7 linked regions of the Macaca fascicularis genome follow. The protein of the gene in region 7 interacts with the protein of the main gene of each other region in a pairwise test. Links are inferred from orthologs where the notes say so. Each region holds a gene or a part of one and is shown on either strand. Other genes may lie near its edges. The genes, in order: DTNB, CCDC116, EXOC7, PARVG, SERTAD3, CCDC146 and USHBP1.

Region 1 (4,223 bases), on a different chromosome or scaffold from region 7:
CCACCTGGGATGTGAACCATTCCTTTGTCCAGCATATCCACACTGCATAAGCCACCCTCTGGTTACTCACTTAGTAGCTGTCTCAATGATCAGATTGACTGTCATGGTATCACAGTGCTTGTGTTCAAGTAACCACTGTTTTACTTAATAATAAACCCGAAGTGCAAGAGTAGTGATGCTGGCAATTGGGATATGCCACAGAGAAGCCAAACATATGCCTAACAGAAATCATTAATCTCTCATGGTACCTAATTTATAAGTTAAAACTTTATCATAGGTGCTTAAGTATAGGGGAAAAAAACAGTCTATATAGGGTTTGGAATCAGCTGTGGCTTCAGGCATCCACTGGTGCTCTTGGAACATATCCCTGAGGCTAATGGGGGGACCACTGTACACATTTTTCCAAAACTCATCCAACCACACATGGGAAATCTGTACATTTTATTGTGTCCACTATACATCAATAGGTTGGTTTTAAAATAAATATATAAACAAAATATCATCGAGAGCGCCTGGAATAAGGCACCCAATATTGTAGAACCTACGCACCTCTCAACAAGAGACCTGCTGGCTGTACACAGTCACACAGAGTGTGCACTACACAACTCCAGGAGCTGCCGGGCACGGGGACTCCAATGTGAATGGTGCTCCCTAAAGCTGGGCAGTATACAATCTACACAACTAGACGCCACAGCTCTGATGCTCATATAATTCAAACAGGAGAAATAAATTTACTTATTCAAGACTTCCTATACAATGCCAGATTTTGATTATTACTCTTATTTTTCACACGAAGAAACTAAGGCCCTGGGGTAATATAAAGACAAAAAATAAAACAATAAGTTGAAATTCTCTTGGTTCTGAGTCTAATTTTCTAACCATAGGTAGAAATTTGTCTCCCGGGCATAGTGGACATCCAAAAACTGCCAGCACTACCTTGACTGCACAACCCCTTTGAAAGGCAATTCCACTTATGCATTATGATAAAAATCCTCAGAGAACTCATAAAAGGTCAAGTTTTAATTTGGCAGACAAAGTAACCCAACAGGCACTGCAACCCAGGTTACTGAAACAGCAGCCTGGAGCTCCAGAGTTCAGAGATTCAACCAAGGCAGAGGACAGGTAGGATTCTAGCCCTTACAGAAAAGCAGAGGCACCGATAGCCTCGCACTACAGGTCTAAGATCCAAGAACTAGGATGAAAATGAAAAAGTGTTTTCTAGACAACACTACCCTCTTCCTTCTCAAGTGACAGGAAAAGCCAATGGGAGAAGGAACAAAATGGGATGATCTCAAGCAACAGCCCAAGGAGCAAGCTCTTGACGGTCAACATGTAAGACACATGGGAAAGTGGTAGTATGGCCACAGAAACCAAGACCTCGCCGCCTTAGCCATTGCTTTAACGTGCCCAGACCTTAGAAACTGGGTTGCCTGGCATGGCAAAAAAAAAAAAAAAAAAAAAAAAAAGGCAGAGAGAGAGAACTTGTGGAACAGGGGAAATCTAGCAACGTTCCCTAACACTAGAGTGACTGACACTGCTCCATGGCAAATGTGGCCAAATCTTGCTTGTCCATTCATTCATGCAATAGACATTTATGGCTCGACCGCTGTGAGACAGGCAACATTCTGAAGACTTTGCAGTGAATTGTCATGGAGCTTATTTCTGGTTGGGAAGGAAGGAAACTTCCTTTCTTTCCAAACGTCTTTTTTCCCCTCTGAGAGCCCCCTTTAAATGGTACCCGTAGGAGCCTTCGTCGGAGCCTTCGAAACTCTCCCAAATTTCTCCCATAGGCTTATTTGACCTTTCCGCTTTTTCTCCAAATCACGCAAATTATGGCTTCAATTTCCCAATACTGGGAAAAGACAAAAGAGACCTAAAGTGAATACGGCATAAAACATAAAATTGGACGCTCTTTTGTATTTTATGTGCATATCTTCACAGTCACACTGCCAGCACCTCAATAACATGAGGGTGTTTCATACTATTTCGTGGCCCCAGTGCTGACTACGGGTCTCTACCCACAGTAGCTGGAAGGTCTTTCTAATCCCAAGGCCTGGCACGGGAATTTAAGGGCAAGTATTCGTTACCGGCATCCTCCTCTCGGGACACTTTCCTGACCAGGGTGACCTCCCGGATAGGTTCGCTATTAGGCACCTCGGGAAAAAGTGATTTGGGGTGATCTGAAATAAATATCCTTCCCTCTGCCAGGGCCTGCCCGCCTCACCTGCCCTCTGCCAGGACCTGCCTCACTCGCCCCTTCAGCACCTAATGCAGAGCCGCCTCCAGGCGAGCCGGGCTCGGGCAGCATCAGCCCGGCGCCGCGCCCCAGCTCGCGCCCGTGCCCCGGCGCGTTCCGGACCCCGAGACCCCTCCCGGCCCGGGCTCCGCAGCATCCCCTCTGCCTGTCCCTCCGCGGCCGACTGCGCTGTCCCACCTCGCAGCCCCGCGCGGTGCAGTGGCCCCGGCTCCCCGCGCCCTCCCCGCCTCCCGCGGCGCCGCACCCGCAGACTCCCGGGTCCCCAGTCCCGGCGCAGCGCGGGCTCCCGTCCCGCACCTCGCGGGCGCGAGGCTCCAGCCCGACTCTGCTCCCCGCAGCCCCGGCGGCGGCCGCAGACCCCCACCTTGCTCACTTCCCTGCAGGAGCAGGGGGCGTCGGGAAGGTCTCCTGCGGCCTCACTCCTCCTCACGCTCCGGCCCGGCCCCCTCGGCTGAGGCAGCGGCGGCGCCCACTCAGGCCCCGGAGCCGCCCCCGCGGCGAACGTTCGCAGCGCCTGGCTCGCACAGCTTCCCCGCCCGGCACGCGCAGCGCCCGCCCCCGGCGCGAGGGCGCGAGGGCGGAGGGCGGAGGGCGGAGGGTGGAGGGGCGGGCGCGCGCCCAGCGCGAGCGCGCGACCGGGGGCGTGGCTTCTGCGCGAGAGGAGGGGGCGGGAGCGGCCGAGCACCCCTTCACCCCGCCCCCGCGGTTCCGGGCAGGCGGGAAGCTGGCTCCATCCAGGCTTCTCCCGCTCTCTGGCGCCGGGCCCGGTCCCTTTCCATCCGCTGGTATCCGCCGGCAGGGTGCCCGGCCCGACGTGACTACCGGGCAAAGAATGCAAAGAGCCACCCCGTGAATCATTCTCTGCGCCTAGGGCACAAGCCTCTGCCCGAGTGACCCGCATGAACTCCGCAAGCTCGCTCAGCCGCGGCGTTCACCCCGCGCCGCACCAGGTACCTGTGGGCGCACGATCACGGTCACAGCGCCTGGGCTCGAGGCTCCCCAAACTTAGCGGGGAAAACAGCCGTGTACACAACCAAGTCCGGTGACCTGTGCAGAGCCAAGGCACAGTGCGATGCTGTGGGAAGGCACAGAAGCTAGAGATGACTTCCGCTTGGACGCCGCAGAGGGCTTCCTGGAAGAGGCGGCATTTATGGTCAGCCTCGAAGGAAGAAAAAGAAGTCCTAAGAGGAAAAAGGGAGGACATTAGGGCTGGGAAAACAGATTGGGCAAAGGAGCCAGGGGCAGTCAGATTTACCATCAAAGCACCAGCTTTTTTGTGTTTTACTGTTACCCATCTTTTATAGAATTCTTTCCAAACTGTGTGAAATACAGGAGATGGTGCCAAATTAGGATGTAGCAAGGACTTTGTAAATGGTTCAAATGGTCATTTTTCTCAACGTTACTTAAGACTCAAAACAGCAACGTCCTTTAGGGGCTATTGGTCAATGATGAAGGCTGTAAGCTCCAGAGCTAAGCGACCCCAGGCTTGCATGCTGGGAGTATGGTTTTCACTGTTTTTTGGCACCTTATGGTAAGGCAGATCGTGCCACCTCCTGCTGCTGCCTGCCTGCCTGCCTTTAGAACACCCTCTTCCTCCTCCTCTCCTCTTTTTATTTTTAAACTCCTATGGTGAAGGAAATGCTGATAACCAACTTTGTTAAATGGGAACAAATAGGTTCCTCAAAAGATGAGCATTTTTGGCCGAGCGTCGAGGCTCACGCCTGTAATCCTAGCATTTTGGGAGGCTGAGGCGGGCAGATCACTTGAGGTCAGGGGTTCGAGACCAGCCTGGCCAACATGGCAGAACTCTGTCTCTACTAAAAATACAAAAATTAGCCGGGCGTGGTGGTGTACACCTGTAATCCCAGCTACTTGGGAGGCTGAGGCAGGAGAATCGCTTGAACTTAGGAGGCAGAGGTTTCAGTGAGCCGAGATCGCGCCACTGTACTCCAAGCCTGGGCAAGAG
Region 2 (4,100 bases), on a different chromosome or scaffold from region 7:
CCTTGAGCACCTGCCAGTGATAGTGGCTGCTAGGAGTGGTGGGTCAAGGAGCCTTTCTCCTGCAAACTCATGTCCGGTCCTACCTTCGAGGAGGTCACCTCTGGACACAGTGAGGAGGGAGATGAGGAAGTAACTGGGGAGAGCTCAGGGAGAAGGTAGCAGGAAGAGCGGGGGTAGGGGCAGGCAAGTGGAGGTGTGACAACCCTGAGGTGGCCCTGGCCGCAGGCCACCTCCACCACTATCCCGGGCGCGGGCAGGGTGAGGTGCAGGCCCCGCCAGGGCTGGGCCCTCTGTCTGGAGCTCAGGGAAACAGGTGGGTTTTGTAATTTGGGATCTGAGTCAGGCTCCTTCTCCCTGGAGTGGAGTGAGGGGCTGGGGACATCGGGCTTCTCCATGGGTGTCACCTTGAGCTTGAATCTGGTGGCCACCTGGGCACTAGACATGGAGGGGGAGCCTCCTCTGTCCTTGTGTTTTCTCTGAGGCGTCTTGGGGCTGGAGACTGTGGGGTGGGGCTGCCCGCTGTTGGTGGGTTTAGCCGGCTCAGAGCCCAGCGGCGGCAGATTGCGTTGAACCTGCAGCTCTGAGGGGGGCTCCAAGCTGGTGGGGAACAGAGGACGGCCGTCGCGGCAGCGGGCGCCGCGGAGCTTATCCACAGCCTGGTTGACGACGCTCTGCAGGGCAGGGAAGAGGCGGTGGTCAGCCAGGAAGTTCAGTGTGCGATGGGGCTCACGGAGCGGACAGTAGCCAGGCAGGTCGAGGGACTCCAGCTGGCTCAGTAACGACTTGATCTCTTTATTGAACTCTCGTTTGCAGATCGGCTCCTGTTCTCCAGGCCTCGGCTCTGATGCTTCAGGCACACCAGAGCTTGAGCCCAGCAGCTCCGAGAACCAGGACAGGGGCTGCTCCTGGGTCCACTGAAAGCTGGTCTGGCTGCCCAGCAAATCCCACAGCAGGGAGTCCCTCTTGGAGCAGGACTGACTGAGGCCTTTCTGCAGAAAGAGGGTGACTCTGAGAAGTGTTCAGGAGCAGCCAAGCCAGGGCTGACCCTGGCCCTGGGCTCTCCGTGGGAGTCCACCCCACCCAGCCATGGCCCCGGCTCTCACCCCTTTCCTCTCCAGCTGTAGCAGCCGCTTGAGATTCTTCTCCAGCAGGAGTTTGTCCTTCACAGGTGGCAGTGAGCCTAAACCTTGGGCACCTAGGTCACTGTCCCGGCTGTGGGAGCCCAGCCAGCCAGCCATGAGGCTGCTATGGGAGTCGGACATGGAGCTGGAGCTGGATGGGTAGTTGTTGGGGTGTCCAGTGCAGAGGGTCGGCCGTACACGGTGCCGGTGTACAGTGCTGAGGCTGGGCCGGGCATGTGCCCGCCGCCCACCACTTGGCACCTCCACTGGGTCCTGCACCTCCACAAGCGGCACCCCAGCCTCGGTCTTCATGGCAGCCATGCGCTCAGTCGCCTTCTCCACCACTGTCTCCAGGCTGTCCAGGACATGGCTCTCAGTCAGGAAATCCAGAAAGTGGCTAAAGGGCTGAGGGTGCCTCTTGTTTCGGCGTTGGTTCTGGAGCGCTGAGCTGCCACATGTGGATGGTGGGTGTGGCACATGGCCCGGCTTGGAGGCTGGCCCCATCTCTGGAACCAGTGGCTTCTTGGGTAGCTGCACCTGAGCAGACAGGTATGTCACAGTGGGCATGGGTGCCCTACAGGTGAAGGGCTCCCTGGGGTCTTCCTAGGGTAACACTAGGACCTGAGTGAGAGTGAGTAGTGGAAGGAGCTGCATTTTGAAGTCTGGAGGCCCTGGATTTGGACCCTGGCTCTGCCACCTACAGCCTGATGACAGTGTGCAAGATGGCCCCTCTTGAGGTCCAATTTCCTTATCTGCAAAGTGGAGGTCTATTCAGGGTCGCCCTGAAGCTTTCCTAACACCTACATTTCACACACACAAGTCCTGGCTAAGGGACTTAGCCTGCTTCTGCCCTGATACATGGCAGGATGAGCAATCATGAACCTCTTGGAGTCTCCCTCCAGCTCCTCATCTGTCCATGCAGCAGGCCATCCCTGTCTCCATGGCAGGGCTGCAAACAACACCTGAGGTCTTGAGTGCAGACAATAGCTGAGGTCTTGAGCCCTGTGCTACCCAGGGCTGTTTCTCCAACTTGAGCCCTAGGCACCTAGTCAACTCCCAGTTCCCACTCTAGGGTCCCAGTTCACCCAAGCACCTTCCAGGTCGCTGGAAGTCAGAAGGAAACAAGGAATGAAATTGAGTGTGACAGGGGCAAGCAGGGGAGTCATAGGAGAAGTCAAGGCAATAAGGACTCAGCTAAGAGGCCCACAGAGCAGGTCAATAGACAATGAGAAATGGGGGCTGTGGTCTTGGGTGTCAGGGTTGGCGGGGAACATGTTGTGGCCTTAAGGGTCGGGGTCCTACTGGGCACACTTACTCGTGCACTGCACATGGAGTGGCTGGCCTCATCGTCAGCCACGTAGCCCGAGTGGTGGCGGCACCTGGCCATGTGGTCACCTGGCAGGTGACCGAGCCTGCTGCCCACCTCTCTCTTCAGCTGCGCATTCCTCTCTGCGTGGGCTGGGGAGACAACGTGAGGGTCTCCAATAGGTCCACACATCTGTGGCCCTGGAATCTGCGGTTCCCTTGCTGCCCGCACCCCGTGTCCTTCATGCATCCAGCCCTTCCTCTGCTCCATGGCCCTCATGCGTCTGCAGGCAGGCAGTTCCCAGAGTCATCGGGATGGAATCGCCGAGGACCATCCTGTCTCCGATCATCTTTGGATCTGCGTGTGCTTAACCCTCCCTACTCCCAAACCCTGGGCAACCTGGCTTTCGCCCCAGCCCGGAATCAACGGACTCACCAGAAACACCGCCTTGCTCCGCGCAGGCCAGTACAGTCTGCGCCCTCACTGGGACAGCTATACAGTGCGAGGAAGTCGACTGGCGGCCTCCACTTGCTTATTTGCATACCACATCCTCATTGGTTCTTACCGAGGAGCTCATCCACTACCCTCTCCGACACAATAGTTGGGGGCGGGGCCCACATTGGCCCAACCTCCAATTCTCTGGACTCTGCTCTCCCACACTCGTCTGGGAGCCGCAGGGTGAAGATGTTGGTGTCTACGTCCCCGCTGCCGGGAGGACCCCCACCCACCACCGAAGCTGGGGCTAGGCTCTATGATCCGCTCCTGCCCCGAGGGGAGTCTAAAAGCCAAAGCCACGTCTTCCACCGGTGATACAAGCACCTTCCTCGTGTCCTACCTGGTCGCTGCGCAGCCCTGGGCCTCCTGCTCCTGTTCCTTTCCAGGGGCCTCTGCCCCTCCCGCGGTGTGCACAGCCCCAGATTCTACCTTGAGACTTCTCCCCTCTGCAGTGGAGAGAGTGCTGGCTCTCAGTCACAGACCTAGCTTCAGTTCCTGGCTCTGCTCTTTCCTGCCAATGTGACTCAGCCTCTCTTAGCATTGGTCCTGCACTCTAAATGGGCTTGAGTGTTCTTCCAATATGGGAATATGGGATTCAATACAATCTCCCTACAACACACCCCGTATCCCAGTGAAGCCTTGAATATTCTTACCTCCTCTCCCTCCCTCCTTTTCTCTTTTGCTCAGTAATACCCCACCACAGTGTCACTTCTTCCAAAAAGCTTTTACTGTGAATTCTGCCACTCCGTACACGATTCACAGTAAACCCCATTCCAGACTCCACCATACCATGTTGCTACTTATGTGTCTACCAGATGGTGCTCCTTTGGGGCCAGAACTGAGGCAAGTCACCCTGAATCTTTAATACTTTCAGTGTCTGGCACCAAGTAGGTGCTCAATAAATGTCAGTCTCCTCCTTCCCATCTGCGCACCCTCGGGACCTCTGACCTTTCCAAGATCAGCTTCCAGTGGAGAATGGTGGTTGGTTGAGGTCTGACAATTCACCAGTCACTATAAACACAACAGTCGTTATGCCAAGAGCATGGTTGAAGGACTCTATGAGGCTTTCAATCCTCACATACCTCATGAAATATTGTTACTCTCGAGTTCTGCTCTGTCCTCTCAGCTCTGGCTACCCACTAGGTCAGGGACAGAGAGGACAAAGCAGGTCTGGGTGC
Region 3 (3,500 bases), on a different chromosome or scaffold from region 7:
AGGCATCGCGGAAGTGGAAGATGGACTTTTATTTTTCACCCATGGCTTTCTGTACCATTTGAAAATTTTACAACTAATCAAAAAAGGCAAATGAACATAAAAATCAAGACAAGAAAAGTTTGAATTTGCCTAGATTCACAGCTTGATATATAAGTCATAGAATGGTTGCTTATATTGGTTCCAGTTAAACATCCTTTTATCAAAAAAGCCACGACAAGTGGATTAAAGAATAAAGGCAGCTGGGCACGGTGGCTCACGTCTGTAATTCCAGCATTTTGGGAGGCTGAGGTGGGTGGATCACCTGAGGTCAGAAGTTCAAGACCAGCCTGGCCAACATGGCAAAACCCCATCTCTACTAACAATACAAAACTTAGCCAGGTGTGGTGGCGTGCGCCAGTAATCCCAGCTACTCAGGAGGCTGAGGCAGGAGAACCGCTGGAACCCGAGGTTGCAGAGGCCGCAGCAAGCCGAGATTGCACCATTGCACTCCAGCCTGGGCAACAGAGCAAGACTCCATCTCAAAAAAAAAAAACTCACTCTGCCTCCAGTGTGCCACGTGGCCGAGTCAGAACCTCTTACCTTGGTTGCGGCCGTATTCCACCAGCCAGCGGGAAATGCGAATGACATCCTGCAGCACGCTCTCGGGCAGGTGCTCCAGGGTCACATCCTCTTGGGCGTCCAGATCATCATCACCACTGATCAGATCCAAGATGAGCACAGGTGAGACGACCTTACTGTGCCGTGTCATCAGGCTGCGGAATTCAGACTCCAGGGCCTCCTTCCCGCGCTCAAAGAGCAGTTTCTGCAGGGACAACAGAAGGAAGCGGGTGCCTGCTGCTTCAGTGCTCTGCCAGTCCTGGCCTTCCCCTGCCTGTGCCAGCTTGGTCTTCCTAACTCAGGGCCTCTGCCCTTTTCTGCCCTGATACCCTTTTTTTTTTTTTTTTTTTTTTTGAGACAGAGTCTCGCTCTGCCGCCAGGCTGGAGTAGTGCAGTGATACAATCTTGGCTCACTGCAACCTCCAACTCCCTGGTTCAAGCAATTCTCCTGCCTTAGCCTCCCGAGTAGCTGGGATTACAGGCACATGCCACCACACCCAGCTAATTTTTGTATTTTTAGTAGAGATAGGGTTTCACCATGTTGGCCAGGATGGTCTTGATCTCCTGACCTCAGGTGATCCACCTGCCTCAGCCTCCCAAAGTGCTGGGATCAGGCATGAGCCACCGTACCTGGCCTGCCCTGATATCCTTTAACCCAAAGAAGAAATGTCAGGAAGCGGCCTTGGTGACTCCTTTACTTCATATTCTCTCAAAATTTGTGTTTACAGGTAAAAACCAGGGTTTTACAAGAAGTAGGTGCTTAATAAATACTGGCTGATTATTTTCTCACTGCACCGTTAATGTGTCTTCTTGTTAGTGGGGGGTTTGCAAAAGAGAATAAATAAATAACTTGAACAGTATCAAATTGAAAACTTCTGTGCTGCAAATGATAACATCAACAAAGTGAGGATAACCCACAGAATGAGAGAAAATATTTGTAAACTACATATCTGATAAAAGACAGGTATCCCAAACATAGAAGAGAATGAATCTGTCCACACGATGACGTGTATAAAAGGGTTTATAGCAGCATTACTCACAAGAGACAAAAATTGGAAACAACCCAAGTGTCCATCAAAGGATAAATGGCTAAAGAAAATGTGGTCTGGCTGGGCATGGTGGCTCACGCCTGTAATCCCAGCACTTTGGGAGGCTGAGGCAAGCGGATCACCTGAGGTCAGGAGTTCAAGACCAGCCTGGCCAACATGGTGAAACCCTGTCTCTACTAAAAATATAAAAAATTAGCTGGGTGTGGTGGTGGGTGCCTGTAATCCCAGCTACTTAGGAGACTGGGATAGGAAAATCGCTTGATCCCAGGAGGCAGAGGTTGCAATGAGCCAAGATTGTGCTATCGCCCTCCAGCCTTGGCAACAAGCGCGTAACTCCGTCTCAAAATACAAAAAAACAAAACAAAACAAAACAAAAAACAAAAAAAGAAACTGTGGTCTATCCACAAAAAGGAATAGCATATGCAAGAAAAAGAAATGAAGTACTGATACACGCTATAGCATGGACTGATCTTGAAAGCATCATGCTAAGTGAAAGAGGCCAGCAAAAAAGGCCATGTATTATAAGATACCATTTATATCAGAAATTCAGAATAGGCAAATCCATAAAGACAGAAAATAGATTTGTGATTTCCAGAGGCCAAGCCACTATCTTGCTCTGATGATCTAATGACCCCAAAACTTAAACACAAAGATACAATGAAGGCAGGTACAGTGGCTAATGCCCATAATCCCTCTCAACACTTTGAGAGGCCAAGGTGGGAGGATCACCTGAGGACAGTAGTTTGAGACCAGCCTGAGCAACACAGGAGACCTCCTCTCTACCAAAAGATTTAAAACTTAGCTGGGCATGGTGGCACGTGCCTGTGGGCCCAGCTACTCGGAAGGCTGAGGCGGGAGGATTGCCTGAGCCCAGGAGTTCGAGGCTGCAGTAGCTATGGTTGTGCCACTGCAGTCTGGCCTAGATGACATAGCCAGATCCTGTCTCTTAAAAAAAAATTAAAAATTGGCCGGGCGCGGTGGCTCAAGCCTGTAATCCCAGCACTTTGGGAGGCCGAGACGGGCGGATCACGAGGTCAGGAGATCGAGACCATCCTGGCTAACACGGTGAAACCCCGTCTCTACTAAAAAATACAAAAAACTAGCCGGGCGAGGTGGCGGGCGCCTGTAGTCCCAGCTACTCGGGAGGCTGAGGCAGGAGAATGGTCTAAACCCGGGAGGCGGAGCTTGCAGTGAGCTGAGATCTGGCCACTGCACCCCAGCCTGGGCGACAGAGCAAGACTCTGTCTCAAAAAAAAAAAAAAAAAAAAAATTAAAAATATATAATGCAAAAAAAAAATCACATAGATTCAAGTTCCTAGAGTAGATTCACAGAAACGGAAAGTGGAATGGTGGTTACCAGAAGACAGAGGAAGGGAGAATGGGAAGTTAGTGTTTGATGGGAGTGGAGTTTCACTTGAGGAAGATGAACATATTTGTGGAGATAATAATGGTGATGGCTACACAACATTGTGAAGGGACTTAATGCCACTGTTAACTTAGAGTTAAAATAGTATATTTTGGCCGGGCACGGTGGCTCACGCCTATAATCCCAGCACTTTGGAAGCCAAGGCAGGCGGATCACCTGAGGTTAGGAGTTCGTGACCAGCCTGGCTAACATGGTGAAACCCCGTTTCTACTAAAACTACAAAAAAAAAAAAAAAATTAGCCGGGAGTGGTGGCGCACGCCTGTAATCCCAGCTACTCAGGAGGCCGAGGCAAGAGAATCGCTTGGGAGATCGCACCATTGCACTCCAGCTTGGGCAACAAGAGCAAAACTTCGTCTCAAAAAAAAAAAAAATTTATATTATGTATTTTTAACCAAAATAAAGAAACAACAAATACATTTATAAAAAT
Region 4 (3,500 bases), on a different chromosome or scaffold from region 7:
GCCTCCAATGTCACCTCCTGTGAGAGGCAAGGCTGGGGACACTAGGGACCACATGTCCCTCAGTGCTTTCTCCTCGATGGTTCTCCAAACTCTTTCTTACTACCTGTGTGGCCTGAGTGGGGGGCAGGCATTGTCAGCCCATTTTCAGAGACAGAAAACCTGAGGTCCAGGCAGGCAGGGAGCTGGTGGTGAAAAGCACAAGACCCAGGCCTCTTGCCTGGTAGTGACCCAGGGTAAGCCTTGGCCCCCCGTGGACCTCTGTTTCCTTATTTGGAAAGTAGTAAAATCCCTTCTCATGGGCCAGGCCTACCGGGTAGGAAGGGCACTCCTGACAGAGGAGCAGCCTGTGCCAAAGCCCAGAGGTGTGAGAGCCCAGGGAGCTCGAGGAAGTGGCAGCACACACAACAGGGGCCTGGTGGGGGCGGAGGCAGGACTAGCCAGTGGGCACTGAAGGCTGTACCTGGGGAAGAGGCGGTGGGAGCTGCATCTTCGCAGGCTCACCTGCCCTCCCACCTCACCTCCATCACTCTCTCCGTCCCTCTTCCTCAGGTCAAGCCACAGCCCTCGTGCCTGGATGCAGGCAGCCAGCTCCAAGCCAGTCCACCAGCCTCTAGGGTCCAGGAACTGCTGAGCCCCCCCAGGTCAGGCCCCACCCTTCCAGCCCCTCTAGCCAGAGTGAAGCAATGACACCTCCCTGACCCATTCCTGTTCTTGCCCCACTCTGAGCCTTTGTTGACGCTATTCCCTCCCCTCTGCGAGCCCTTCCTCGGTAACTGTGCAAACCAACCCCTAACCAACCTCCCAGCTCGCCTCTGATGCAATGCCCTTCTTGACTCCTTGAGATTATTCTAACCCCTCATTGTTCCAGGTCCCTCCTCTGACCCAGGCATCTGAACCAACACATTTTGCTGTGGCCCTGCAAGACCACATGTCACCAGGAGAACAGTGGGCATAGACTGAGAGGTCCCTGAAAGCAGGAGCTGTGCTGGATCATCTTAACATCCCATACAGCTCAGGGCCTGGCACTAAACAGGCCCTCAGGGAATGAGGGAACAGACGTGTGGGTAGCGGATGGGTGGGTGAGCAGGTGGGTGGATGGGCAGGCAGGTGTATGGGTAGATTGGGTGGATCAATAAACAGAACAGAAAGATGGACTGAAGGACAGACAGATGGATGCATGAAACGACAAGCAGGTAAATGGACAGGTAGGCAAGTGGATGGATGAATGTATGGATGGTCAGACAGACATATAGATCAACTTCCTATGGGTGGGTAGACAGGCAGGCAGGTGGGTGGGTGGATGGATGGATGGATGGACTGGGTAGATGAATAAACAGGAAGATAGGTGCATGGACAGGCAGGTAGGTGGATGGATAGGTGGGCAGTTAAATGGATGTGTGCATAGATGGTGGGTGGCTTGGTAGGTGAACAGAAGGGCTAATAGGTGGATGGGTAGGTGGATAATAGGTAGACGGGGATAGATAGATAGGTAGATGATGGATGGACGGATAGATAGATGGATGGGTGGGTGGGTGGGTGGACAGATGGATGAGTGGGTGGGTGGGTGGGACGGATGGATGAGTGGGTGGGTGGGATGGATGGATGAGTGGGTGGGTGGGGGGGTGGATGGATGAGTGGGTGGGTGGGGGGGTGGACGGATGGGTAGGTGGGTGGGTGGATGGATGGATGGATGGGTGGATGGATGGATGTATGGATGGAAGGATGGATGGATGTATGGATAGAAGGATGGATGGATGGATGGATGGATGAATGGATGAATGAATGGATGGTTGGTTGGTTGGTTGGTTGGGTGGGTGGGTGGATGGATAGATGGGTGGGTGTGTGGGTGGGTGGGTGGATGGATGGATGGATGGATGGATAGGTGGGTGGGTGGGTGGGTGGATGGATGGATGGGTGGGTGGGTGGGTGGGTGGGTGGATGGATGGATGGGTGGGTGGGTGGGTGGGTGGGTGGGTGGATAGATGGATGGATGGATGGATGGGTGGGTGGGTGGATGGATGTATGGATGGAAGGATGGATGGATGGATGGATGGATGGATGGATGGATGGATGGATGGATGGATGGATGGATGGTTGGTTTGTTGGGTGGGTGGGTGGATGGATAGATGGGTGGGTGGGTGGGTGGATAGACGGGTGGGTGTGTGGGTGGGTGGGTGGATGGATGGATAGGTGGGTGGGTGGGTGGGTGGATGGATGGATGGATAGGTGGGTGGGTGGGTGGGTGGATGGATGGATGGATGGATGGGTGGGTGGGTGGGTGGATGGGTGGGTGGGTGGGTGAGTGGATGGATGGATGGGTGGGTGGGTGGATGGATGTATGGATGGAAAGATGGATGGAAGGATGGATGGATGGATGGATGGATGGATGGATGGATGGATGGATGGATGGATGGATGGTTGGTTTGTTGGGTGGGTGGGTGGGTGGATAGACGGGTGGGTGTCTGGGTGGGTGGGTGGATGGGTGGATGGATGGATGGACAGGCAGATATATAGACAAACAAGCTTCTCCTACACCCTTCACGTCACCTGGAAGTGAATAAACAGACTGGTCATGTCAGTTCTGTATATCTGTTCACCCAGAGGTAGACCATCAAGAAAAATCTTTGGAAAACTTACCATTTCCGCAGGAGAGTTGGGAGTGAGGTAGAATTCCTTTAAGTGCAGGAAGAAGCCTTCAAGTTGTCCAATCAGCAGGAGTAAGATGACCCCGTCTGCAAACTACAAAGGTAGGAACTGAAGACTGTCATACGGAAGAAGTCTGGGGAAGCCCACTGTGTCTTTTACAGGCTGTGTGGCCCTAAGGAAGCCGTACAAGTTCTCTGAGCCGCTGGTTCCTTGGTGAGAAGTGGGGAAGACATTCCTGACCTCACAGGGTTGCAGGTAAAAAGTGGTTTCGGGCTGCCTGGTACACAATACCTGCTCAGTGAAAAAAGCGCTTTCTAAACTTACTGCAGAATAGCCTCATGTCAGTTTTTAAACAGCACGCTGTTTCACAAGCTACAGAAACACAGGGGAAAATAGAGTTAAGTGTAAAATTATTCCATCAGAAAAGGCAGAGAGCAGCACACCGGGCTCATCTCGCCGGCTGCCACATTAATATTTCTGTCTGTTCTGTATGTTCAGAGATAAAGCTGTCGTCCCTGCCACCAGCATATCATATGTTAATATAATCGTATTGAGTCTCTTCAAAGATACAAAACACAGGATGGGATATTGGAAGAAACTGCCATTCGAAGCCCTTAATGGAATTTCCTCATATTAAGCCTGTTTCGATGTTATTAGTTTGGGCCTGAAATCTTTTCCGCCGCTATTCCTTGGTAATACAACTGGAATGCAAGGGACTTCCTTACCCCGTTTTATTGAACAGTCTCTAAATACCACCTTTGCACATGCCATGAGTCTCTAAAACCCATTATTTTACCAAGGGAGAGATAAAGATGGAACAGGTAGAATGTAAATCTCAGAAATCATAATCATCC
Region 5 (3,961 bases), about 30 Mb from region 7:
GAGATCGAGACCATCCTGGCTAACACGGTGAAACCCCATCTCTACTAAAAATACAAAAAAAATAGGCGGGCGTGGTGGCGGGCGCCTGTAGTCCCAGCTACTCGGGAGGCTGAGGCAGGAGAATGGCGTGAACCCGGAAGGCGGAGCTTGCAGTGAGCCGAGGTTGCACCACTGCACTCCCGCCTGGGTGACAGAGCAAGATTCCGTCTCAAAAAAAAAAAAAAATAATAATAATAATAATAATAAATAATAAAGATCCAGAGGCCTTTTATTGTCATGTTTGAGAACTTATGTACCTGGCATTGTAGACACTGGGGTAAGGCAGGGAAGAAAACAAACAGACAAAATCCTTTCGTTTTCGTGATGGGGGGAATGGGAGCTTGAAGCCATTTTAGAAAAACTGGAAGTGACTCAATGGGGCAGGATCGGAGAGAACCAGGAGAGCGCATCAGGCAAGGTCGTGAGGGGCTTTGTGGCAAAAGGAAGGGGTTTGAAGTTTGTCTTCGGGGAGGAGGGGTAGGAAGCCATGAACAGCAGCGGAGGAGTCATCTTGTTGGAGCGGGGAAGAAGAGAGGTGTCAGGAGACCCAGGTAGGACCACCAGAGGACGCGTTGAGAAAACTCGAGGATTAAGAAGGGGCCGCGGGGTAACGTACGGGGGGCGGGAGAAGCGCAGCAAGGGGGCGGGGCTGCGATCGCCTAGGCAACGCGGGCCGCGTCACACCATTGGCTGGCCTTTCGGTACGTCATCCCCCGCCCCGGCGTCCGCCCTCGGAACCCCGGGGGCGCGACCTCCTCCGGTTGTTCGGCCCCGCCTGCCTGGACCTCCCGGAGCCAGAGGGTATGCCAGCCCCTCTGGCTCCGCGGTGGGGTCCAGGCCTGGCAAAAAGGGACTGCAGGGAGTAGTGGTGACGATCTTGGAGCGAGGACCGTAGCCCAGTGGAAGGAAGCGGTTCTCTTGGACCAGCCGCCCTCCACCCCTGGAGGCGCTGCCCCGCCCCCTGCCAGTTGCACTCCTTTAAATGGCCCGGGGCGCTAGGGAGGGGTGGGCGGGTCCGGCGTCTCCGGGCAATGGTGGATGGCTCCGCCCAGCCAATCGACGCCCCGCGGCGGGCGGGACTCCAGCCAATCGCGGCTCGCGGCTCGGCTCCGGGGCGGGGCTGGGTGGGCCCGAAGCCAGACGGAGAGGCCCTGCCGAGGTGAGCGAGGCCCCGGCCGGTCACTGGTGGGTCCCGGCACTGGCGGGTCGCGACGCTGTGGGCGTTCCAGGAGGTGGTCGTGGCAAACCTGGCAGCTGGGGTGAGGAGTGGTCGCCTGGCTTGGGAATTTACCTTAGGCTGGAGGAGGGAGAGGCGCGCCCCGGAGACTTGCGGAGGCGGGGTCTGGGTGAGACCGGGGGAGGGGGCCTCAGATTCAGGGTGATGATAGGGAGGGTCTGGGGGCCCGAGACTGAGTTCGAGACCCAGGAGGGGATGCGAGGTTGTTGGGGCAGTATTTTCAAGTGGAGGGAGTTTGAAGCTGGGACGTGGGGCGTGGGGCGTTTGGAGAAGCGAGAGAACAGAGGGAAGGAACTTTTGAGACAGGGAACCTGGAGATTCGATTCCACTTGGGTCTTCCGGACGGGTTGAATTCGGGGCTTTATCGTGTTCTGGAAAAGGTGTGAGAGGTTTGGGGCTGAGATCCTGAGTATTTGGAGAAGCGAGAGAGCTAGGGTCAAGGATTCTTGGACTCCAAGACGCACTGGCGGGGGAAGGGAGGATGCCGGGAAGAGTTCAATGTTCGGGTCTTGGAGCCGGGCAGCGAGTTTAGAGGTGTAGTCCAGGGGCGTTTGAAAGTCAGGAGAATAGGGGAAGTGGGAGGAAGTATCAAAATTAGGATACGTAGTCTCGCGAACTAGATCGCAGCATTGTCGTCTTTGAGCGATGTGTTCGGATCTGGGTCTCTGGATCCAAGGGCAGTTTGGGAGGAGAATCCCGGACTTTCAAGGCACGGAGGGACAGGGAGAAAGCAGATTTAGAGCCGGAGTCAGGGGTGGGGGAGGGGTGTTCCGGGCATGGAGCTCAGACTCGCCGCCCCGGAGGCAACGGAGGGCGGGGCTCGGTGGGCGCCGGCAGCTGGACGTCCGGGTTCCCTTCCCCCACTCGCTTGTGCCACTGTGCGCATGCCCTGAGGGAGAGCGGGGTCGGGGGAGGGGGGCTCGTCCCCTGGACGGGCGGAGCCCTCTGGGGATTGTAGTGCGTGCTCGACGTCGGTTCGTGTACCTGGCGGCTGTTGGCCCCCGTTTCCCAGAAGCCCCTGGGACAAATTGGGGCGTTCCTGGATGCTCTCTAAAGACCCATGGAGGGGCGGGGCCTTGCAGTGCCGAGGTCTGATTGGGCGGGACCCCCCTAGGGGGCGGGGCTTGGTCTGAGCTGAGTTCTAGCAAGTTTTCCTGTGGGGCGCGCTTTGGGGGAATCTGAAAGCGCGGGCAGAGGGAATGAGGCCCCTTTCCTACTCTTGGGAGCGCTCCCAGTTGGTTAAGGAAGAGGACATGGAAATATCCTGACTGTGAAAGAAGAATCTTAACATAGGTGCCCCAGCAGGGACCCAGGAAGTTCGAATATAGTAGGCACTCAGTAAATCTGTTGAGCGTATAACTGGCAATTAACTCTTGATCGAGGCCGGGTGTGGTAGTAATCCCTACTCAGGAGTAATCAGCTACTCAGGAGCTGAGGCGGGAGGATCGCTTGAGCCCGGGACTTCGAGACTTCGGTGAGCTGTGGTAGCGCTGCTGCACTCAGCCCCGGGCGACAGAGCGAGACCCTGTCTCTAACAAAAAAAAACAAACACGGCCGGGCGCGGTGGCTCAAGCCTGTAATCCCAGCACTTTGGGAGGCCGAGACGGGCGGATCACAAGGTCAGGAGATCGAGACCAGCCTGGCTAATACGGTGAAACCCCGTCTCTACTAAAAAATACAAAAAACTAGCCGGGTGAGGTGGCGGGCGCCTGTAGTCCCAGCTACTCGGGAGGCTGAGGCAGGAGAATGGCGTAGACCCGGGAGGCGGAGCTTGCAGTGAGCTGAGATGCGGCCACTGCACTCCAGCCTGGGCGACAGAGCGAGACTCCGTCTCAAAAAAAAAAAAAAAAAAACACAACTCTGGTTCATTAAGCACTTCCTGTGTGGTGGGCCCTATAGATACGTGGCATCTCCTTAGACAGAGGTGGTGAGAAGTATTTTTTTTACAGTCCCCATTTTACAGATGAGGAAACTGAGGCCTGAGAATTGACTCAGGTCACTTCCCACGATCACGCAGCTGAGCAGTTTCCAGTACAGAAATCAAATTTGGGGTTCCCTAGTTCCAATCCAGGTCTCTCTGCTCCACACCTGTCTTTCGTGCTCCATGTTTGAAGAAATTAATATTGTGGAAGAACAGTTTTAAGGCTCAGAGGAACTTGTTAGGATCCGTATTTGGCAGATGAGGAAATTGATTCTCATGGATGTAAATTCACTGTTTGAGGCCACAATAGGCAAGTAAGTGGGATTTAAATCTAGCTGTACTTAAGTCCAGATCTTATTTTCTTAATCACATATGTATTCACCTCCTTAACCTTGTAGGATTCAGACAGCCTTCATTTTATAGATGAGTAAACCGAGATTCAGATGATTAAAAATCACCAACAACTCAATAGGCCTGAAAAAGTGGGATTTGAGCCAGCACTACGGTGTCTGGTGTCTGACATGCCCCTATGCCCCTCTTCTCTCTACAGGGCATCATGGTGGGAGGCTTGAAGAGGAAACACTCTGATTTGGAAGAGGAGGAGGAGAGGTGGGAGTGGAGTCCAGCAGGCCTTCAGAGCTACCAGCAAGCCCTGCTCCGCATCTCCCTAGACAAAGTCCAGCGCAGCCTGGGCCCCCGAGCACCCAGCCTCCGCAGGCATGTCCTCATCCATAACACCCTCCAGCAGCTGCAGGCTGCACTTC
Region 6 (2,515 bases), on a different chromosome or scaffold from region 7:
AAAGGATGAGGAAAGGAAGGAATGGGGTAGATTTGTTAATAGACACAAAATTACAGTGAAATAGGTGGAATAAGTCCTATGTTCTATACCACTGTAGGATGACTATAGGTAACAATAATATATAGTTTCAAACAGCTAGGAGGATACTGAATATTCCCAACACAAAGAAATGATAAAGTTTGAATGTATACGCTAATTACCCTGATCTGATCACTATACATTATATGTACTGAAACTTCACTATGTACCCCATGAGTAGGTACAATTATTATTAGTCAAAAAAGTAAAATGAAAAAAAATGCAAACAGCCATGACAAGTTTCACTACTTTACATAATTTAGATTTACCAAGATTAAGTGCTACTTCTTATTCGACAAAGTGAGTTATGCCTTTGCAATACTTGAGATATTTTCCTTTTCAAATAGCCATTGTTTCTTTTTAAAGTGTGTAGATTGAACGGTATTTGTTTTTTCTTTAATAAACAAAGACTACTCTGCCAATTTCTGTACTTCATTGAAAAGAGATTTATTTTTAGTGCATTTTTATAGCACCTTGCCAACTACAAATTTCTGGAATGTACTCAACATAAAGAGTGAAAAAGAAAATATAAGCAATTCAAATATATACTTTGACATATAAATGTAGGACAGTTCTGTGTCCTATTCAATGTCATGAAAGGTATAGTAGTTGGTAGGTAAAAAGAAACCATGTTGTACTCTGTTGTTGACTAATTGTGGTTACCTTACTTATCAATAAAATTGGAAGTATTATGCTCACATTTTTCACCTGTGGGTACAAGGAAGCCTGGTTGAAGTCCTCTCCTTGAGAGGCCTGGATTTGTTCACCTACTCAGATTTCAATTGGCTTTATAATAGGTTTCCTTATGTGCCTCATATTGGCTCCAGGTTCACTGGGTTTAAAAGGAGCCAAAGCACCATAAGGTTTTGGCAAAGGAAGAGTGGCCTCTGCTTCTGGGATGTAGGCATTTGGACGCTGCTCTGCAGTCGTGTAAACACCATTGGGCATCTGGCGATTATCTGCTTCCAAGAACTCCTGCAAAGAATGATTTTTCCTTTTCAGTTCTCTGAAAACGCTGGTGAAGTCACTTTATCCTTAGGTCCCAAAAGACGCAGCTGGCCTGGACAGTCTTTGACTGTGCTAGCTGATACTCCCCAAAGGGATGGGAGGAGTAGGAGGGTGGAATCACACCACACACACACACACACACACACACACACACACCCCCACCCACCCACCCACCCCTCATTGGAATGGGCTGTATTGCTTCAGCATCACATTATTCCTGGAGTTTAGGGTTTTTCAAAGACTGCTTCGTGGGTCCTAACTATGTTTCCACCTCAATATCTGTCATCAAGCACTAATTATTTCCCTGTTTTTGACAAAGGCAGAGCAACATATTTCCTTTGGTAAGTCATTGGTGAGCAAATATTACAATGGAAGAGATAGAGGAGTAAAGTGCAACCAGAGGAGGAAAACGGTCACCAGCTTGCTCTGAACCGCAACGTTTTCGAGATTTTGCCTGTGCCTCTGGAAAACAGAGTAATCACTTACTGCACTAAAAAGCCCTCTGATAAATGACAGTGGGACACCACAGGTAAAATCTGAATGCCCTAAAAGGAACAGTCCCAGGTGGTGCGGAAATTATAAATCATGTAATTTATACCTGTGCTCAGGTATTCCTAGTGTGTTTTGAATGCAGTTTTGTCTTGGGTTCAGGAGCAAATAGGGACCCTTTTGGTGACATCCACTGGACAGTTTGAGTGAGTTGTACATCTGGAGGATGTAGACTCCTTGGAAAGAGATGCCTAATTCCAGTCTAAGAATACTGACAGGTCATGGGGGTAGGCAGAAGATCTGGTATCTAACTTGCAGGGGGAGTCAGTGATAGACCTAGCCTTAGGCCAGAGGACTAAGGTGGGAAAATAAAGGGGGGCCGCTGAGGCCTATGATGTACATCGAGCATCTGCAGAAGGCATGGCAACTATAATGTGGGTGGAGGCCTCACTGTATGCTGTGGAGGCCACAGCAGATGAACATGGAACAGTCAGGTGTGGTCTGAGCAGAGGTGCCAAGACAGAGATTGGAGACTTAGAGACAAGACCGATGCCAGCCTGGTCGTCACTATGCTGGTGGAAGGCCATGATGTTCAGCCTCGGCAGCCCAGGATGTAAGGCTGTGGGGTGGGACCTGTGCTTGCTAAGTGTTCTTCAGTGAGTATTGTGGCACTCTGGATTACTGCACTTTGACTTATCTATAGAATATCTTTAAACACACTTCTGATGACTGTTGGGACTGTGTGTGGTAGAGTGGGGAAATTTTTCTTATACTGTGGGATGAATGACCCCCTGAAAGCAGCCCCTGCTGGCACCCTTTAGAAAAGCAATACAGGAGCCAAAGCCTACCTGAGACTTTTCAGCGAGGGCCAAGGCATGCATTTCTTCATCTCGAAGGACCTTCAACCATTCTTTCTCAATTTCCTTATTGAGTGGCAGAC
Region 7 (4,059 bases):
CCACCGCACCCAGCCAACCTGGCTGATTTTTTTTTTTTTTTTTTTTTTTTTTTTTAGACAGAGTCTCACTCTGTTCTCCAGACTGGAGTACATTGATGTGATCTCAGCTCACTGCCACCTCCATCACCCGGGTTCAAGTGATTCTCCTGCCTCAGCCTCCTGAGTAGCTGGAATTACAGGCATATGCCACCACACCTGGCTTTTATTTATTTATTTATTTTTATTTTTAGTAGAGATGGGGTTTCACCATGTTGGCCAAGCTGGTCTTGAACTCCTGACTTTGTGATACGCCCACCTCAGCCTCCCAAAGTGCTGGGATTACAGGTGTGAGCCACCGTGCCTGGCCAACCTGGCTGATTTTTATTTTTTATTTTTTGCAGAGGTAGGGGTCTTGCTGTGTTGCCCAGGCTGGTCTTGAACTCCTGGCCTCAAAGGATCCTCCTGCCTCCATCTCCCAAAGTGCTGGGATTATAGGCGTGAGCCACCACACCCAGCCTCAAAAGGTTTTTGGAATGAACAGATGAATGAATATTGCCTACATCGGGCCTGCCTCCTCCCTCAGACAGAGAGCCACATAGGACTCAGGATGGCCCCACTCACCTCTTTCTGCAGCGTCTCCTTCTCAGCTCGGATGGCCTCCAGGGAGGCCTGCGTGCGGACCAGCTCATCCTCTCGGCTACTCAGGGCCAGCCGGAGCCAGGCATTCCTCTCAGCCAGGCGAGCTGCCTCTCGCTGGCTGCTCCCTGCCCCTTCCTGCTTCCCAAGGGGACCTGGTCCCCCTTTGCTTGTGTCTTCCAACTCCATTGGCCCAGGATGGCTGGGGGGCCGGTGGCGCCAGGCTGCAGCCGCTGCCTCCAGGGAGCTCAGAGCGTGCTGGAGGGTCTGAAACACATCGGGGGCCCCAATCCCAGGGGGCACAGTCTCCTTGTACTGTAGGGCTGCTTCTGGGGCCTGGTAGGCTTCCACTGCAGGTTTGTGGGGCACCTCGGGGGCTGAGGCCAGTCCCCTGCCAGAGCCCCCATCCGTCTTCTTGTCGGTCCTGTGGACACCAACTCAGGCACTTGAGTCGCTCCATGCTGGGCAGGGAATTCTTTTTTATTTTTTGAGACAGAGTCTCACTCTGTTGCCCAGGCTGGAGTGCAGTGGTGCGATCTCAGCTGACTGCAACCTCCACCTCCTGGGTTCAAGTGATTCTCCTGCCTCAGTCCCCCAAGTAGCTGGGATTACAGGTGCCCACCACCACGCCCGGCTAATTTTTGTATTTTTAGTAGAGACAGGGTTTCACCATGTTGGCCAGGCTGATGTCAAACTCCTGACCTCAGGTGATTCGCCCGACTTGGCCTCCCAAAGTTCTGCGATAACAGGCATGGGCCACAACGCTCAGCCCAGGGCAGGGAATTCTTAGGGCTTAAACTTCATGGTCTTCGGGAGGTGTGAGCGGGGCAGAGTTGGCAAGAGCTGCGTGTTCTGGGACTTGCATCCCAGGGAGAGACTGGGAGGCTGGGAATTCAGGGAAGAGGCTGGACAGAGGTGGTGGAGAAGTTGGAGGGGAGACCTGGGGCTACGAAGCAGAGTGAATAGTAAGTTGGACTGTGACGGGCAGTGGGAAAGTCCTGAAGGTGAGAGACAGAAGATTCTGGAAATGGGGTCTTCTGGGGCAGCGACTCACACTTGTAATCCCAGCACTTTCGGAGGCCGAAGTGGGGGGATCACCTGAGGTCAGGAGTTCAAGACCAGCCTGGCTAACGTGGCAAGACCCTGTCTCACTAAAAATACAAAAATTAGCTGGGTGTGGTGGCACACACCTGTAATCCCAGCTACTCGGGAAGCTGAGGCTCCCTCTTGAACCCAGGAGGCAGAGATTGCTGTGAGTGGAGATTGTGCCACTGCACTGCAGCCTGGGTGACAGAGCAAGACTCAAAAAAAAGAAAAGAAAGTCAGGCTGAAGGCAACAGGGAGCTATGGTAGGTGTGTGAGCAGAGAGGGCACATCAGCAGATCTGCAGATGGCAAAGATGCATGTGGACTGGAGTGAAGGGCACAGACCAAGGGGGTCTTACCTGCTTCCTAGGCCTTGGCCACTGACCTCCTCCATGGGGCCCAGCTGTTCCAGCCCGGAGCTCACAGGAGGTGGGGCAAAGCTGAGCTTGGAGCTCCCACTGGCTGCCTCAATCTCCTCTGAACTCTCAGCCACGGGGTCCAGTTCACCCTGCAAATGACCCCCGTGGCCCCGCTCTGAGCCAGGCAGGATGGGACCTTGGGGTCCCCAGGAGCTGGGTGTGGAGGGGAGAGGGCGACACTTACGGGTGGAGCATGCCTCCCTCGCCGGCTTCGGGGCCGCGTGGCCCGGGCACTCATTGCTGTCCAGAAGCCAGTGCTCTCTGAATGCTTCTCCTTCGTCAACCCCTAAAACCACAGCCTGCCATGACCTCTTGCCTTTGTTGTCCTGGACAAAGGACAACCTCAATTTCCTCTGCTGTGAAATGGGACATTGACTACCCCTCAGGAAGGGATTTTGTGATCAATGTTGATTGGGCACATTTGAATGCCTCCTGGACAGGCAGCTCACTACCTAACAAGGTTGTCTGGATCTCCCCCTTCTTCTCTGCCTTCTTTACCTTCACTACGTCTTTGTCCCCTTCCCTCCTCTCTTTGAGCCTGGAAATGCAATCTCAATAATTCCCTCTCCTCCGCGGCCCTCCTAAATGACGGGTTCAGCTCTCTACCTCTCTGATCTTCTGGGGGTAACTTGATCAGAGGCCTGAGTCCCTGGACGCCGTCTTGGGGTCACTCTGGCCACTGCCTGGTCAGGCCTGGGCTGGCCAAGCCTGGCCTGGGAGGGACCAGGAAACAGGAACCCACTCCCCTGGTCATGTGACTTGTTATTGTGTTGTTTCCTTTTTGAGGACAGCAGCTTCCTGCAGCCCTAGCGGGGCACACATACCTGACTCCCAAGGTTTCAGCCCCTCCTCGTCTCAGCCTCCAAGCCCATGGCCCTTCTAGCTCTGACGCTTGGATTTTATTTCTCAAGATCTAGAATGGGCCGAGCACCATGGCTCACGCCTGTAATCCCAGGACTCTGGGAAGCTGAGGAAGGCAGATCGCTTGAGCCCAAGAGTTTAAGACAAGCCTGGGCAACATGGCAAGACCCCCGTCTCTACATAAAATATAAAAATTAGCCAGGAGTGGTGTCATATGCCTGTAGTCCCAGCTACTCGGGAGGCTGAGGTGGGAGGATTGCTTAACACCTGGAAGTTGAGGCTGCAGTGAGCCATGGTCACGCCACTGCACTCCAGTCTGGGTAACAAGGCAACACCCTGTCTCAAAAAGAAAGAAAAAAAAAAGAGCTAGAATGTTCCCCTGAGCTGATATGGCTTTTATTTGGCTCCCCTGTGAACTCTTCTTCTCTGCCTGTCTCTTCACTGTGGGCTGACAGTTCTCTTCTCGCTCTGTCGCCCAGGCTGGAGTGCAGTGGTGCGATATTGGCTCACTGCAACCTTTGCCTCCCGGGTTCATACCATTCTCCTGCCTCAGCTTCCCGAGTAGCTGGGACTACAGGCACCCGCCACCACGCCCACCTAATTTTTTTGTATTTTTAGTAGAGACGGGGTTTCGCCGTGTTAGCTACGATGGTCTCGATCTTCTGACCTCGTGATCCACCTGCCTTGGCCTCCCAAAGTGCTGGGATTACAGGCGTGAGCCACCACGCCCAACCTTCTTTTTTTTTTTTTTTTTTTTTTTTTTGAGATGGAGTCTCGCTCTGTCGCCCAGGTTGGAGTGCAGCGGTGCGATCTCATTGCATCCTCCACCTCCTGGGTTCAAGCAATTCTCCTGCCTCAGCCTGCCGAGTAGCTGGGATTACAAGTGCCCACCACAACGCCTGGTTAATTTTTGTGTTTTTAGTAGAGACAGGGTTTTACCATGTTGGCCAGGCTGGTCTTGAACTCCTGACCTCAAGTAATCCGCCGGCCTTGGCCTCCCAAAGTGCTGGGATTACAGGCGTGAGCCACTGCACCCGGCTAGAGATGGGTTTTTGCCATGTTGGCCAGGCTGCTCTTAA

Evidence for each region.
Region 1: the proteins of USHBP1 (region 7) and DTNB interact in binary tests that used the Homo sapiens proteins (3 or more experiments, as listed by UniProt). The two-hybrid records come from large-scale screens. The link is inferred for Macaca fascicularis from reciprocal best matches to the Homo sapiens genes USHBP1 and DTNB.
Region 2: the proteins of USHBP1 (region 7) and CCDC116 interact in binary tests that used the Homo sapiens proteins (3 or more experiments, as listed by UniProt). The two-hybrid records come from large-scale screens. The link is inferred for Macaca fascicularis from reciprocal best matches to the Homo sapiens genes USHBP1 and CCDC116.
Region 3: the proteins of USHBP1 (region 7) and EXOC7 interact in binary tests that used the Homo sapiens proteins (3 or more experiments, as listed by UniProt). The two-hybrid records come from large-scale screens. The link is inferred for Macaca fascicularis from reciprocal best matches to the Homo sapiens genes USHBP1 and EXOC7.
Region 4: the proteins of USHBP1 (region 7) and PARVG interact in binary tests that used the Homo sapiens proteins (3 or more experiments, as listed by UniProt). The two-hybrid records come from large-scale screens. The link is inferred for Macaca fascicularis from reciprocal best matches to the Homo sapiens genes USHBP1 and PARVG.
Region 5: the proteins of USHBP1 (region 7) and SERTAD3 interact in binary tests that used the Homo sapiens proteins (3 or more experiments, as listed by UniProt). The two-hybrid records come from large-scale screens. The link is inferred for Macaca fascicularis from reciprocal best matches to the Homo sapiens genes USHBP1 and SERTAD3.
Region 6: the proteins of USHBP1 (region 7) and CCDC146 interact in binary tests that used the Homo sapiens proteins (3 or more experiments, as listed by UniProt). The two-hybrid records come from large-scale screens. The link is inferred for Macaca fascicularis from reciprocal best matches to the Homo sapiens genes USHBP1 and CCDC146.

What each region holds. Positions count from the first base shown.
Region 1 is NC_088387.1:96,566,272-96,570,494, reverse strand, and holds the start of DTNB (dystrobrevin beta), read right to left. Parts: upstream 2,801-4,223; 5' UTR 2,622-2,800; intron 1-2,621.
Region 2 is NC_088384.1:31,499,067-31,503,166, forward strand, and holds the start of CCDC116 (coiled-coil domain-containing protein 116), read right to left. Parts: upstream 2,801-4,100; 5' UTR 2,707-2,800; coding exon 2,437-2,706; intron 1,659-2,436; coding exon 1,104-1,658; intron 990-1,103; coding exon 405-989; intron 1-404.
Region 3 is NC_088390.1:82,528,223-82,531,722, forward strand, and holds part of EXOC7 (exocyst complex component 7), read right to left. Parts: intron 803-3,500; coding exon 580-802; intron 1-579. UniProt on the Homo sapiens protein: Component of the exocyst complex involved in the docking of exocytic vesicles with fusion sites on the plasma membrane.
Region 4 is NC_088384.1:7,370,835-7,374,334, forward strand, and holds part of PARVG (gamma-parvin), read right to left. Parts: intron 2,740-3,500; coding exon 2,638-2,739; intron 2,548-2,637; coding exon of another isoform or gene 2,539-2,547; exon of another isoform or gene 2,434-2,538; intron 1-2,433. UniProt on the Homo sapiens protein: Plays a role with ILK in promoting the cell adhesion and spreading of leukocytes.
Region 5 is NC_088393.1:47,545,587-47,549,547, reverse strand, and holds the start of SERTAD3 (SERTA domain-containing protein 3), read left to right. Parts: upstream 1-1,161; 5' UTR 1,162-1,198; exon of another isoform or gene 1,199-1,385; intron 1,386-1,529; exon of another isoform or gene 1,530-1,656; intron 1,657-2,439; exon of another isoform or gene 2,440-2,750; intron 2,751-3,347; exon of another isoform or gene 3,348-3,511; intron 3,512-3,747; 5' UTR 3,748-3,753; coding exon 3,754-3,961.
Region 6 is NC_088377.1:144,179,880-144,182,394, forward strand, and holds the end of CCDC146 (coiled-coil domain-containing protein 146), read right to left. Parts: coding exon 2,424-2,515; intron 1,054-2,423; coding exon 850-1,053; 3' UTR 501-849; downstream 1-500. UniProt on the Homo sapiens protein: Essential for sperm flagellum biogenesis and male fertility.
Region 7 is NC_088393.1:17,583,620-17,587,678, forward strand, and holds the start of USHBP1 (harmonin-binding protein USHBP1), read right to left. Parts: upstream 2,801-4,059; 5' UTR 2,358-2,800; coding exon 2,304-2,357; intron 2,209-2,303; coding exon 2,060-2,208; intron 1,759-2,059; exon of another isoform or gene 1,040-1,758; coding exon 601-1,039; intron 1-600.